Bombyx mori: one gene and its partner. The protein of the gene in region 2 interacts with the protein of the main gene of each other region in a pairwise test. Links are inferred from orthologs where the notes say so. Each region holds a gene or a part of one and is shown on either strand. Other genes may lie near its edges.

Evidence for each region.
Region 1: the proteins of CBP80/20-dependent translation initiation factor (region 2) and eukaryotic translation initiation factor 4E-binding protein Mextli interact in a two-hybrid assay, tested with the Drosophila melanogaster proteins (2 studies listed by BioGRID). The link is inferred for Bombyx mori from reciprocal best matches to the Drosophila melanogaster genes CG13124 and mxt.

The regions. Positions count from the first base shown.
Region 1 is NC_085110.1:13,302,047-13,309,419, reverse strand, and holds part of eukaryotic translation initiation factor 4E-binding protein Mextli, read right to left. Parts: intron 7,126-7,373; coding exon 6,972-7,125; intron 6,811-6,971; coding exon 6,657-6,810; intron 6,561-6,656; coding exon 6,359-6,560; intron 5,829-6,358; coding exon 5,757-5,828; intron 5,431-5,756; coding exon 5,370-5,430; intron 4,852-5,369; coding exon 4,710-4,851; intron 3,689-4,709; coding exon 3,554-3,688; intron 2,598-3,553; coding exon 2,408-2,597; intron 602-2,407; coding exon 530-601; intron 1-529. UniProt on the Drosophila melanogaster protein: Plays a role in promoting translation.
Region 2 is NC_085114.1:13,989,152-13,996,524, forward strand, and holds part of CBP80/20-dependent translation initiation factor, read left to right. Parts: intron 1-3,743; 5' UTR 3,744-4,342; coding exon 4,343-4,477; intron 4,478-7,373.

The DNA.
Region 1 (7,373 bases), on a different chromosome or scaffold from region 2:
ACTTTGCTGTTTCTGTTCTGTTACAGTTATTATGTTTGCGACAATTTGTGACAAAAAAAACTGTTTTTGCTGCTAGTTGTTATTTGGTATTTTAATATTTTTTTTCTATTTAAAAGCACTCAATGAGTCCACAGAATAGAGATCTAAGTGCGGTAGGATAAATATATATAAAAAAATAATTCGTGACTTTTTTTAGTGGTTGTAATTTGTTCTACAATACCTGTTGTATTAATTTATCAGTCAAACGACTTTACTTATTAGACTGCCAGTTACTATTTCCAAAACAGTTTTTTATTTCTTTTTTATTGCTGGGCATAGATCGAATAGGTCATCGAATTCGAAAGTGCTTTATTGATATGAACTGTGTTGAAGCGAATCAAAGTCAGAGTTCAATTGCAATGAACTGTAATACTATTATAATCGGAATCGCACGATCGCTTCGTGGCCCGTGCTCACATTCCCTCTGGGCAGATTGGGTAGGGTGTGTGTGCGAGTGTGGCGTGTCGGTGGGACAGTGGGGCGAGGTTACCTTGGTTCTTGTCAGTGCTGGTGGCGCGTGAGAAGCGCGGTCGGCGCGGCGTGAGGTCTCCGTCGGCGGCGGCTGCACACAACCGTCCGTACACTCGCGCCGACACCGCGACCACTACCCGCCCCTCACCCAACTATTCAGAAGCAGACCTCCGCCAAACAAACCCCAACCCCATTCACTACGTCTATTGACCGCGACGCGATTTTTTTTATCGATCCCGCATGTCGCTCGTTTGTAGTATAAAAACTTGCAACGCTCCATAGTTAAATGAAATCAAATCAAATCATTTTTTTTTTTTATTCAACATAAATGAAAGTACACACACTTGTTGAACGTTAAAAAGAACTACAGCCAATTCACAAAAACTAGCCTCCATCCTGAGAGAACTGGCAAGAAACTCAGCGGGCATGTCTTTTTTTTTAAATATTAGATTTTTTTTTAATTTGAAAGAAAACAATTATTGCAATATTGAATATAATATTAATCGATGTGGATCGCAGAATTTATAAAGCTCGCTTCGGTCGCTTCTGAATAGAATGATATTTTAGCAGTGACACATGATTTAGTTACGAAAATGTTTTGTTACGAATGCTGGTCGCAAAAAAATTTGGAAAACACTGCCGCGCTCGGTTCGATGTGGTGGTGGTGGTCACAGTGACGTAATACACGTTCAGTGTAAGTAAATAAAATACATACATACATGATATAATACGGTCAGTCGTACAATAAATTTAATAAATGAACACGTGATTCTAATTCGATAGCATCGATACTGATTCTAACATGAGCTAAATTAATACTTTGAAAGATATGCATGCCTGTCAGTCCTCACTCCGAGTCACTACTACAAACTGTAATGAAACTCTACCAGTTCTAAGTTATCAACGAGGTTACATGATTGATATTGAATATAATACAATTCTGTCGAGTGTATAGTATAGTAATATTGACTATGGAAGAAACGAGGTCACCGGTTACAACCACCACCAACATATGAGGATTAAACAGATGTGACTGGTGATTCGCCTCTACCATTTTGTACATTTGTCATGTGTCCATTACAGACACGACGGAGCCGCATTTATCGAATAGTTAGAGCCACACAGGTAGAGTTACATTCCTTAATTATTGAAAAAAGTCATGCTGTAAAATAAACTTCGTCTCGCTCGCTACCCAGCCATGCCAAATTCCACTTCAAGCACGCATCACTAACTTTATTTAATTCCGTATTTGCATTTACTGTGCGCATACTGCACTGCAATAATTATATTCACCTAATTCTCACAATATAAAAATTATATTTAAATCTCTGAACGGAAATCCTTAAATTAACACACCAAACGAAACACGTGCAGGCACAAATACTCGAAGGACTCCACAAAACGAGTCAGATCAATAATCAACTCGAGTTTAATCACTGATCAATGTCTGCATAAGATCCTTATTACCTACTTACTCACCGACATTGCGAGAATATTTTACAAGGTCCAATACTGACCAGTCATCACGTCAGCAAACAATTGACTTCTACAGTGTTTCTTTTTTTTTAATTCTATTACATAGAGCGTATAGGTAACGCAACGTGAACACTGCCACCCACTTTGAGATGTGAGGTTAAAATAAATTGTATTATCACAGCAAACACATCAGTGCTATAAGACTGAAGCAGGCCGAGCGTTGGTACCTACTCGAAGTAGGCTCCCAAAACGCTCTACCAGTAACAATCGTCTCCGTCACTAGATCACTCTAGTAAGTCCATCGATATTGTACAAGTTTGCTTTCTCTTAAATCATAGTAGTTTATCATTGTGAGCTCATTTATTTTCGGTGACTATGTCGGTCGGTAGGATAAAGCTGTTAGTTAGCGTCAGAGTGGCACCTGCGTCGGCGGGGAGGGCGGCGGGCGCGGGGACGAACACGTCGTCGTCGTGCAGCGCGGCGTCTTCGTCCCGCAGCAGCAGCGCGGCGCCGGGCCGCTGCGAGAGAGTGAAGAAGTCCCCGGAGCCGGCGCCGAGGGCCTCCAGTGCTCCCGCGCTCTCAAAGTACTCGTCCAGCACGAGTTTCGCCGTCTAAATCAACAATGTGTACTGTACATTCCTAACCTCTAACATGCAATTTTACTTGTGGTAGGACCTCTTGTGAGTCCGTGCGGGTAGGTACCACCACGCCGTCTATTTCTGCCGTGAAGCAGTAGTGCGTTTCGGTTTGAAAGATGGGGCAGCCGTTGTAACTATACTGAGACCTTAGAACTTATATCTCAAGGTGGGTGGCGCATTTACGTCGTAGATGTCTATAGGCTCCAATAACCACTTAACACCAGGTGGGCTGTGAGCTCGTCCACCCATATAAGCAATAAAAAAAAATGTAAGGCGCCTGCAGATCCATCTTTTTATATTGTTTTTTCATGAGATCATATTGGCAGAAAGAGCGAGGTTAATTGATTGATAATTGTTTACCAACATCGGTACACTCGGTATTGTGTTGGATGGGAAACGGAGCGTAGAGAGCGCGACATCAAGCACGGTACCACTTTGAAACACACTGGTTAAAATTCTAGTTATATTGCAATAAGACTCAAATCAAATGCAAAATGATGGTACCAAACCATGCAGACTCCCAATAAGCTTATAATACAAGATATATTTTCTGAAATACTTAATTATGTACACAACTATGCCTGCCCTTAACATGGTCTATATTCATTTTATTGATATATGCCAAGGTCAGTTAAAATTTACTCCACCGAATTTTGGAACTAACACTGATACATGAAGCATTATAGTTTTGATCCCAGACCCAATGTTCTTCTGTAAAAACTACCATACAGTGCTCATTCATTATTATTCATGAACAAAAAATAGATGTGTGACTGCATTACTATTCAAAAGTTTTCAACACAAATGATTTAAAATTTTATCATATTCAGATTGCTTTATCTTATCTTCCTGTTCTCTCAAAACTAACGACTTTCTCTTGATAACCTTTAAATTTAATAGATAAGAAATTACCGTGAAGTAAAACTTACCTTCACAAGATCCAGGTTATTACCGGTGATCTTAATGGAATGTTGTCCGAAAGTCACAGTGTACTTATATTCACCAAGTGCAGCATCATTCGTAGAGAAACTGTGAAGCAGAGCTCTCGAGTTGTGAGGAGATTTCTGGAATTTGAAATGATTATTAATTATGCATTTTCGAATTTCCCACTTTATTATTTTAAACCTAATAATAATAGCAAGTGAAACATTTGCTATACTTCTTCAGTTAATAGCAGATTTTATTACAGTCGGTAGATAATATTTTAAATAATATACAGTGGATGTGCAACAGTGTAGTATCACTGATTTTATATATCGATCTACAATAAAAGTCAGAAACCGAAGTTAGCAGTAATTTAGTAAATCCACTGAGAAATAAGTACATATATTAATTAAAGAAATAGAACATACATAGCACCACAGTCATTAAGATACAAGGAAAATATGCGAAATGTTCGACAAAAAAAAATTGCAAATTTAGCTTATTCAAATTTCGATAAATAAAAAAAAAAGTGTTGCATTTGAGTTTTTTATTGTAGTGTGAGTATTTTTGTCATTTGATGCAATTAAAAATCAATTTCGCTGTATTCGCTTTCACGTAATACACATTCACGAAATGTGGACTTGGCTAATTTTTATACTTAGCCTTATGATATCGACGGGGGTTGAAGGGCTATTTGGTTTAAGGGACATTTCGCTTAATACGCGACACTTATCTTTATAATTAAAAGTGCGTTTTATTTGGTATTAGCATCAACAGTTTGATGTTTTTAATTGAACTTCAATTAATTTTACTCCATTATTTGAATGTATATTTTTGCTGAAGGTATATTTTTTTTCATTTTATTTTCCAAAATGTATCCTTTCAATGGCTCTCCTGTAAAGTTGCAAAAATGTCGCCTTCAACCCTCAAAATTATAGTTTGTCTTATTATGCTGGATGATAGGAGACTGCTGCCGAAAACGAAGATAGATGATGGTACTGACACATTTGAAGATGGGAGGAAAATCGTCTGTCTTTGTTTTCGGAAGCAGCCTCCTAACACCCAGTATAGAAATCTCGATATTACTGACTGATTCGACTTCAGGAGTGTTTTCGTTATACTGACGTTATATAGACGAATTAAAGTATGTATAGTAAGTACCTCTCGGTTACGCGGCGGTTCGTCAGAGGCGGCAGAGTCCAGCGAGGCGCGGGAGGGGGAGCGGGGCGCCTCTAGTGACCCCTCCAGTCGCACCGGGGACGCGTTGCGACGGATCGTGTCGCCAATCAGATGTTTAGCGTGACTGCGAAACACGCACTAGTGTTTTGAAGTATTCCCAAAATTATTTTACACATTCTTGTTTATTTCATTTTTCTAGAAGTGATTTATTTTACTAAAGCTTTTGTTATGTAATGTAAATAATAAAAAAAGAAGTATCTAGGCCTATGTTGAAAAATTATTAAAAATTATCGCATAGGTTGGGGAGGCTTTGCCCAGTACAAATGTAGATTCACTTTTCACATTACAAATGATGAATCATTTTTTAAAGACTACATCAGTGTGAATTTGGTATAGGAGATTATCGATAAGTCGCGTGGAAAAAATCGCGTGCTTATAATTAATTACACAAGACTAAACAATGTTACCATTCACTAATAACAAATGCTGTGTACACATTTACAATTCTTCTGCATGACCAGTCAATTTATTTTTTTACAGCAAAAATCTGATGTGAAACATCCCAAACTTTATTTTGCACTTTTTAAAAGTAGCATGATACTTATTGTCTGATAGTTTATAAAACTTAGTATAGTTACTTACTTGACATTTTCCTCATTCGGTCCAGTGATCTGTACTAGTCGCTCCTTGGCTCCCGGACTCACTGAAATATGGAGTGACCCTCATAATATCATTAATGCTAACCTTTTCTAGTAAAGCACAAGCTTGATGCGGTTGTTAGGCAATGATATATTAATATGCTTGTTTTTAATCATACCAATAAAAACCGATGAGTTTTATTAGTTTGGATTATAAAATAGATTATTTAGTTTGTATATTTTTGGTAATTGTTAAAGAATGAATCATGTATATTTTTGGTAACAGTAAACGAAACTTGTGATGGAAAATTTCGATATAGGATATGAAGGAAGAAGGAGGTCGCAACACCATGCGCAAGCGCATCACAGTCCCTGCACCGTGCATTCATACCTCGCTGAAACGATATGATCGTGTCACTTAGCTCCTCGATCATGTGCACCCTCCTGCCCTTAATACCCATCACTGGAACACCACAATACAACTTAAGATACGCCGCAGGCCCTATCAGATTTGCTAACCTTAACATTTAAAAAAATCCAACATAACAATTCATTTTGAGTCTACATAACAAACATAGATAAAAATATTTAAACATCACTTTAGTCAACACATATTTTACAACACCTTTATCAAACATGCAAAGGTTTAACTGAAAACTCAATCATAATTAAACATTACACTCTTAACATGCAAACTTCAGTCTAATCGGATTTTAAAGCATATTTATTCTAATATAACAGGAAAAATTGCTTTTTGTTCATTGATATGTTAATCTCTTTAGCACTACTGAAATGGTTCTGAATAAATTGACCATTCTTAAAAAATCTCTGGACTAAAATATTCAATGTTATAACATCAGCTTATATATAATAAATAAAGATACTAATTACCACATGCATGTCTAATAGTAAAATTACCTTCATAAAATTGTGTGTTCTAAAGAAAGCCATCTTAGAACACATAAATTTTATGTTTAATTGTTAACAACATACCTTTTCCAGAGTCAGCATTCCTGATGACAACCTCATCTTTGGAGTAATTCTTGCCCGGGATTTTGGTGGGCTTGGGGAATTTTCCTGAGGGTTTGATGACCTCCCCAGGACCGAGCATAGCAGGGGGCTCGGCCGGCGCAGCCAGCGTAGGCGACACAGACCCACCTGATCCTGTTCCCTCCATTGTTGGTACCAGCAAAGGCTGGAAATATGACAAGATCAATATTGTTATTTACCATCTGTTATCTAATTTAATACTATCAGATTGTGTACAACACTACAGACAATAAATTATTACCTCAGCATGAGTACCACGGTGCCTATAATATTGACTCATATAGTCGGAACCTTGCCACAACTTAGCTCTCAACTCGATCAATTCAAGAAGGTGCAATCTAGTCTTCTTATCAAGGCGCTCATCTTGTGAGCCATTGCGGAACACAACAAAGTATCTGCTCAATGAAAAAATGTTTGTTAAGTGGTTATTAACCAAATTTAAAAAATTTCAATTCAGATTTTTTTAAATGTTATTATTTATTTTAATATTAAATTATATATTTTATATGAAGTTTAATGATTGTTTTAAGCAATCCAGTATAAAAATGAATCATACCTATCAAGAAAATCTTTGTAGAGGACCTCGAGTTGAGCTCCATATAGTTTAAGATTCGAGTACATTGTGGCAACATTGCTTTGGAGAGCACGGTCATAATTTCCTTGCATCATTTGGTATGCCACAGCTTCTGCTAGTACTATCAGGTCATCAACTAAAAAGGAAAATACATTACATGTATTGGTATAATGGTAAGCCAAACAGCAATAATGCAAATTGAAAACTACTTCTGAAATTTTCTGAAAATAAGGGTTAATGAAGTTGTAACTTCTGTTTTTTTAATCCAGATAAATAATTATGATTTTTTTGTAAAAACTAGACCATTCTAATTATGCATTGGGATTGAGCACACAAATTATTATTGAAGATCTTTTACCAACCAAGAAAGACCAAAAACCTTAT
Region 2 (7,373 bases):
CCAAAAAAAAAATAAAAAAAAAATTAAAAAAAGTAGCCTATGTTCATCAGGGACAATGTCGGCTTCTAATGGAAAAAGAATTTTTCAAATCGGTCCAGTAGTTTCGGAGCCTATTCGAAACAAACAAACAAACAAATCTTTCCTCTTTATAATATTAGTATAGACTAGGACCCTAGGCGTTGTTTGTCTTGTTTACTGGTGGTAGGACCTCTTGTGAGTCCGCACGGGTAGGTTCCACCACCCCGCCTATTTCTGCCGTGAAGCAGTAATGCGTTTCGGTTTGAAGGGTGGGGGGGGGGGGCAGCCGTTGTAACTATTAAGCTTAGAACTTATATCTCAAGGTGGGTGGCGGCCTTTACGTTGTTGATGTCTATGGGCTCCAGTAACCAATAACACCAGGTGGGCCGTGAGCTCGTCCTCCCATCTAAGCCATAAAAAAGGCACATTCTAAATGTATAAAAGTCGGCGTTAGACTGTCGGTAAGTGAAACAGCGAATTAATTACTTTTGGTCATCTGCCCTAGATTATTTATTATATAATCAAAGCGAACATACCAACAAATTATTAATGTTAACATAATAATAGATTGTTATTGTTGTCAATAAAACTCTAAGAATACCCGCTATCGACAAAAAACGTCTGCTATTTCCGAGCAGGCCAGCAATTCCCTTTCACATAAATTGCCCAGCCAATAAGCTTAAGTCCATTTTAATATGTACAATAAAATGCGTTTGTAATGTGTTTACGTCTAGGTTCTAGGCTTTTAACCTAGTCCCGAAACACGTTTTTAAAATATTTTTCTGTTTAAAGGTTTTTTTTTATTGTTTAGATGGGTGGACGAACTCACGGCCCACCAGGTGTTAAGTGGAGCCGGAGCCCATAGACATCTACAACGTAAATGCCGCCACCCTTCTTGAGATAAGAGTTCTAAGTACTCTAAGGTCTCAGTATAGTTACAACGGCTGTCCCACCCTTCAAACCGAAACGCATTACTGCTTCACGGCAGAAATAGGCAGGGTGGTGGTGCCTACCCGTGCGGACTCACAAGAGGTCCTACCACCAGTAACCAGTTTGTCTTTATTTTGTTCGAACACTAGTTACACAGAAACAGAAAATGTCTATGATAAAACTTTTTGGTTAAAACCCTACTGTTACTAAAAAAAACAGCCTCCATTTTCTTATTTCGATACGACGCCTAATCTTAGAAGTATTTCCCTGAAAATAAAACCATTTGAAACCGATCATTTGCGAGATCTGGATCTATGGAGGGAGTTTACATCTCCATTTGTTTGATATCGTATGAACCATGGGGAGTTCACTGAAGGTTTTTTGGAGATAATCCCGTCATCTCCATTCTGTAGGAGTGGAATCCATATTCCAATTCATAGTATTTGGAACAAGTGAGTTCATCCACGGTGCGTGTTGACATTTTTTGGCCACGCAATATCTGACTTATGGGATGAAATTAGTTCCTTGATGTTTCCTGTGCGTTGACTCTTACAGTCTTCTTGTAACGCGATTTGTGAATATTTCTAAGTGATAGACTGCTACTCGGCAGTGCATTTAGCGTCACCGTTGTCCATCACTATCTGTAACCATTAACCAACAACATTACAAAGGTCTAATATATTTTGACTTCTGTATCTATAGCCAATTATTTAAATATTAGCTTTTGCTCCGCTCGCGTGAAGTAGTTACTTTGGCATAACGTTAAATTTTACCCTCACTTCATTTACGTAGAAAGTCAAAATATTTTTGAATTAATAAATAAATAATAATAAATATTTACTAACAATCACGCCACGTTAACTGGTCCCGTGATAAGTTCGTAAAGAACTTGTGTTACAGGTACCAGATAACGGATATAAATGTAAGATTTTTATTATACACATACATATATTTAATATACATCCATAACCCTGGAAAAGACATTTATATTTATCATACAAATATCTTCCCTTGGCGGGATTCGAACCCGCGACCCCCTTGTGTAGTGACCATGTCACTTACCACTACACCAGACGGCCGTTGAATTATAGAATATTAAGGAGCTATTTAAACCCCTATTTTGAAACATTCTTTATTGGTGCTCCACTTGTATTGGCCTTACCGGAATGTTATATAGCCTATAGCCTTCCTCAATAAATGGGCTATCAAACAAACAATTTTTCAAATCGAACCAGTAGTTCCTGAGATTAGCGCGTTCAAACAAACAAACGCTTTAGCTTTATAATATTAGTATAGATTAAACACCATATTTATCACGAGATCCGTCATTGGACACATCAACCACGCTAGGGCATCGTAATGAGTATTCGACGTAATCGCCTGTTTCCTCTTTTCCCTCTGTACATTGCAAAGCGTTGTTTTGTAAAACCGGTCCGAGGTCGACTGTAGAATCGATGAGGCAACGGATATTATGTTTGGAATAAAAACACTTACCTGTTTAAATAGACAACGTTTGGAATTATGAGTTAAAGAAGAAAGAGAGAGAGTGTCAAATTGTTGTTTTTAATGCGACATCGTACATAGTTCATTAACAATGAACTTCAGAAATGTTAGGGTCATACCTATAGCTTCGAGCTTGCATATTTGTGGTTTAATGATGAAATTTTGTGTAATAAATCTAACAAATAATTATATACTGTAATCTATTCTGTAAACAACCGATCATGATGATGGTTAGCTTTTTCATGAATACATAGATTGTCTTTCAACCAGAAAAATGAGTACTGTTCCCAAAAGTCTTAATGGTAGTAGGGCATTTTGTGATCCCGCGGGGGCTGGTACAACCACCCTGCCTATTTCTGCCGTGAAACAGTAATGCGTTTCGGTTCGAAGGTTGGTACAACCGTTGTACTATAAAACTAAGACTTAGAACTCATGTCGCAAGGTGAGTGACGGCATTTGTGTTGGTGATGCATATGGGCTCTTGTAACCACCAAACAACAGGCCATAAGCTCGTCTTCCCATATAAGCATTAAAAAAAGGCATGTAAAAGTAGTATATAATATATGAAGCATTATATTCAGTCAAACTATTTGCGATCCTTCCGGCGTTAATTTTTTTTCCTACCTGTTCTGATAGCCCTGAGAGGCTATTTCAGCTTCTCCTCGACGTGTAGGTGAGCTCACGGGGCTCAAACCGGAGTGTTGCTAACACTGACCCCAGCAAGAGCAGTGCTTCGCCGAATCTACCACTGGATCGGAAACGCGACCCACTGAAAAGATTCGGCGAGAAACTCAGTGGATTGTGTCTATGGGTTAATTTTCTCGTCGAGCCCTTCGTCACTAGCGACGGGTTCGGCGAGGACGGTGACCGGTGCTTTTGCACCGTTAATGGATCGGGAGGATCCGTAATGACGTGTATATGGCGACGTTTAGTCCTATTCACATACATACATTGATGTATCTGACATCAATGCCATTTCAACATCATTATTTTTCATTATTTTTTTTTTTTTTTTTTATTGTATTTTTTTACTTGTTTTTTCGTTTATTTGTAAATATTTTTAAAAATTAAAAAAAAAAAAATTTGAAAATAAAACAAAATAAAAAAGCCCGCTGAGTTTGTTTTGCCTGTTCTTCTCAGGACTGTGGCTTTTTTTCGGAACCGGTGGTAGAGTTACCATTGTTATTTATATTTTGACATTCAACAAGTGTGTTATACTGACATCTAAGTTGAAATAAATGATTTTGAATTTGAAAACAATATAAATTAACGTATTCTCTGCTTTGTTCCAGATTAGGGTTTATATAACTCCAACGACGAAAACGATTCGAGCTTCGTGCTGTAGAAACTCTCAGCCCCTCGAAATATTGTATAGAATCGCTCGGTGACTGCCAGGCATTGACACATCACTGCACTGCTCTTGTATGATAAACGTCTTAGAAATAAAAGATTAAAAAAAAAAAACGAAAAAAATAATATAATACGAACTAACGCCCTCTCGGTGGCCACGAAGAGGGATATTTATTATACTTTATTATTATTATTATTATTATTATATATGCATATATAAATCGGAGAAAAGTGATCTCTAAAGTGACGTCACAATATTAATTGAATTGTGATCTTGTTAATTAGTTAGCCGTGTCGCATTTCGTATTGCCCGTATTTATTGTAGTTAATATTCTTTTATTACGTTGTAAATATCAACAATATTTATATGTTACATGTGACATCGCGTTATACTATAATACTAGTCATCGATCTAGTGTGTGTTTATTGTAAAATCATAATTTAATTGTTACTAAAAGAAATAATTAACGAAAACTTCGGTCGAGTGCACTGAAGGCAAGAAGGGAATTCGTGTTTGAGAGCAAGTTACGTAACTGTCAAGATGCAGACTCAATTAGGATCAGGCAATGATCTGCAGAGGAGCTACAGGATCCAGGACTTCGCCACGCCTGGCGTCATCATGAGGGAGCGGAGCTTCGTACGTCCTCAGTCGCATCACAACATGCATCATCACCAGGTAAACAGACTTAATAGAACTCAGCTTAATAAGTATTTTCTTTGGTTTTCAGCAATCGTAGATATAATTAAAGCTGTTAAGGAACGCCAAATTAAATCGTAAAAATAAGCATAATTGTGTAGTTTAATTGTTTTATTTTGTTCTGAATTTTAGTGGTGGTAGGACCTCTTGTGAGTCTGCGCGGGGAGGTACCACCACCCTGCCTATTTCTGCCGTGAAGCAGTAATGCGTTTCGGTTTGAAGAGTGGGGCAGCCGTTGTAACTATACTTGAGACCTTAGAACTTATATCTCAAGGTGGGTGGCGCATTTACGTCGTAGATGGCTATGGGCTCCGTCCCACCTGGTGTTAAGTAGTTACTGGAGCCCATAGACATCTACAACAAAAATGCGCCATCCATCTTGAGATATAAGTTCTAAGGTCTGAGTATAGTTACAACGGCTCAACTAGGTTCGAGAGAAAAGCTAACAAAACCTTCTACACGTTAATTACTACAACTAATGTTGATACGATTATATACTGTAATAAAACTGCATGTTTTGCCAGGAAAACCTATTGCAATGCCTAATGCTTATAATAGAATAGAGTTATTAATTTTTTTACTTTGTTCTGTGTTCAAACTGGATTTCACCAGTTTCAGTCGCGCCTTGCGCATTTGATTATCGGCAAATATTCTGCTACAACATTCAATGTTTAAAATACAAGTGAGCGGCAATTGAATGCACCAATTATTTTTATGATTAATAAGTTAGACGAGCTGTTTTTCTTCAAATTTAGACTCTTCTCTCCCTGTTCAGAATAATTTTCAACGGCAAAGTCAAGAATTGTATAACAATTTAAATTTCATTAAACATTACTCCAATAATATGTGTTCCTTAAAAATTGTCATTATTTTTTAACTATTACCTTTTAAATTTTAATAAGATATAATTAGATTTATGCGTTCGTTCAATAGTGCGCGAACAAACAAAACAGAAGAGACAGAAAATAATCCAAAAATCGGTCATTAGTTTTTGGTCTATCGCTGTTCTTTAATTAGCCCCTTTGTATTATTTACCATTCTTCATTGTATTTAGCCTAGCATTGTATCTAGCGTAGTCTTTACTCCACGAAACCTGCTTATAGTGTAAGTACTGTCTGTCATACCCGATCCTGTAGACCGAATGGTATTTTTTTTTATTGCTTAGATGGGTGGACGAACTCATAGCCTAGTGTTAAGTGGTTACTGGAGCCCATAGCCATCTACAACGTAAATGCGCCACCCACCTTGAGATATAAGTTCTAAGATATCAGTATAGTTACAACGGCTGCGTCGGCTGCCCCACCCTTCAAACCGAAACGCATTACTGCTTCACGGCAGAAATAAGCAGGGCGGTGGTACCTACCCGCGCGGACTCACAAGAGGTCCTGCCACCAGTATGGTAAACAGTCGACGTCGCCCTAAATACGTCATTACAGATCCTCCCGATCCATTAACGGTGCCAGCGAACCCGTCGCTTGCGACGAAGGGCTCGACGAATGAATTAACCCATAGACACAGCCCACTGAGTTTTTTGCCGGATCTTCTCAGTGGGTCGCGTTTCCGATCCGGTGGTAGATTCTGCGAAGCACTGCTCTTGCTAGGGCCAGTGTTAGCAACACTCCCGGTTTGAGCCCCGTGCGCTCATCTACACGCCAAGGAGAAGCTGAAATAGCCTCTCAAGGCTATCAGCATAGATAGGTAAAAAAAAGTACAGATAACATAAAGCTTTCATTGTGATCCTCATTTTCAACTTAGATCAGCAAAAGTGCTATTGCTGATCGAAGTTGTACAAACACACCCGTTGTTACTGGTTTTCTATATGTATTGATAAAAACATGTATGTTTTACATTGCGCGCTCTTGTTCTCTGAAGTTTTCATTTTCATGGACGATTCTTTCGCAACAGTTAGGCTGTAGCTGAAGTTGAGTAATTAATTCGTTCGAAAATGTTTTTGCTGCAAATCCAAGCGATGCAAAATATGAATACTCAAAACCTATATTGACTTTACAACATACTCTTTGTTGACAAATATCAAATATATATTTGCGTTGGATATGTGGGCGACTACCGCACCCACAACCGAAACACGTAATCTAAGACCTTTTGAATGATTTGCGAAACAGTAAATTTTCAGGTGTGGCTCAATTTTGTAATTTAATCATTGAAAGTTTTTGTTATTTTAATATTTAATTTTACAAAATTAAACGTACACGTTCGAATCAACATCGACTGTATCAAAATGTTTTATGGTTTAATCTCGCTCGTTTATCATTTTTAATTTTATTATTTCCAACGTTGGGTATACTTTAGAATTTTCTTGGTCACATACTATTGGAAGTACATTTTGTCATGTCATCAAAGTCTTAGTGAGAATCGCTGGGTCACGCCGGATGCGGGTGGCAACGAACCAGCCACACTGGACATCAATTGGAAAGGCCTATATTCAACAGTGGACAATGGACAGGCTGAGATGATGATGATAATGCGAAGACTGAAGAACATACGATACAGGTCGCGTAGATTAATCATATAGTATCATCAGGGAACTGCGCATCGGCATTGAAGGCGCTGACATGGTTGTGAGTTCGTCCAAAAGAGTTATGTCCCGTTGTGCGTTGGATATAACTTTTAGTTTTTGTGTATGGCAATCGGATTTTAACTGGATTTATTAGTGACGTTTCCTAATCTAAGGATGTCTGGTATATAGACTATTGACACCTTGGCTGTGACAAATAAAATCATAAACCTTCATCTCGTGCGGCGGAGCGTCGAAATGCGCCCCCGACGATATTTCTATCAGTGCGTAGCAGGTCTTTCTCGAACCACCAGCACTAGGGTATATTAAAATGCTAGAAGTTTTCCGAAAACATACTTT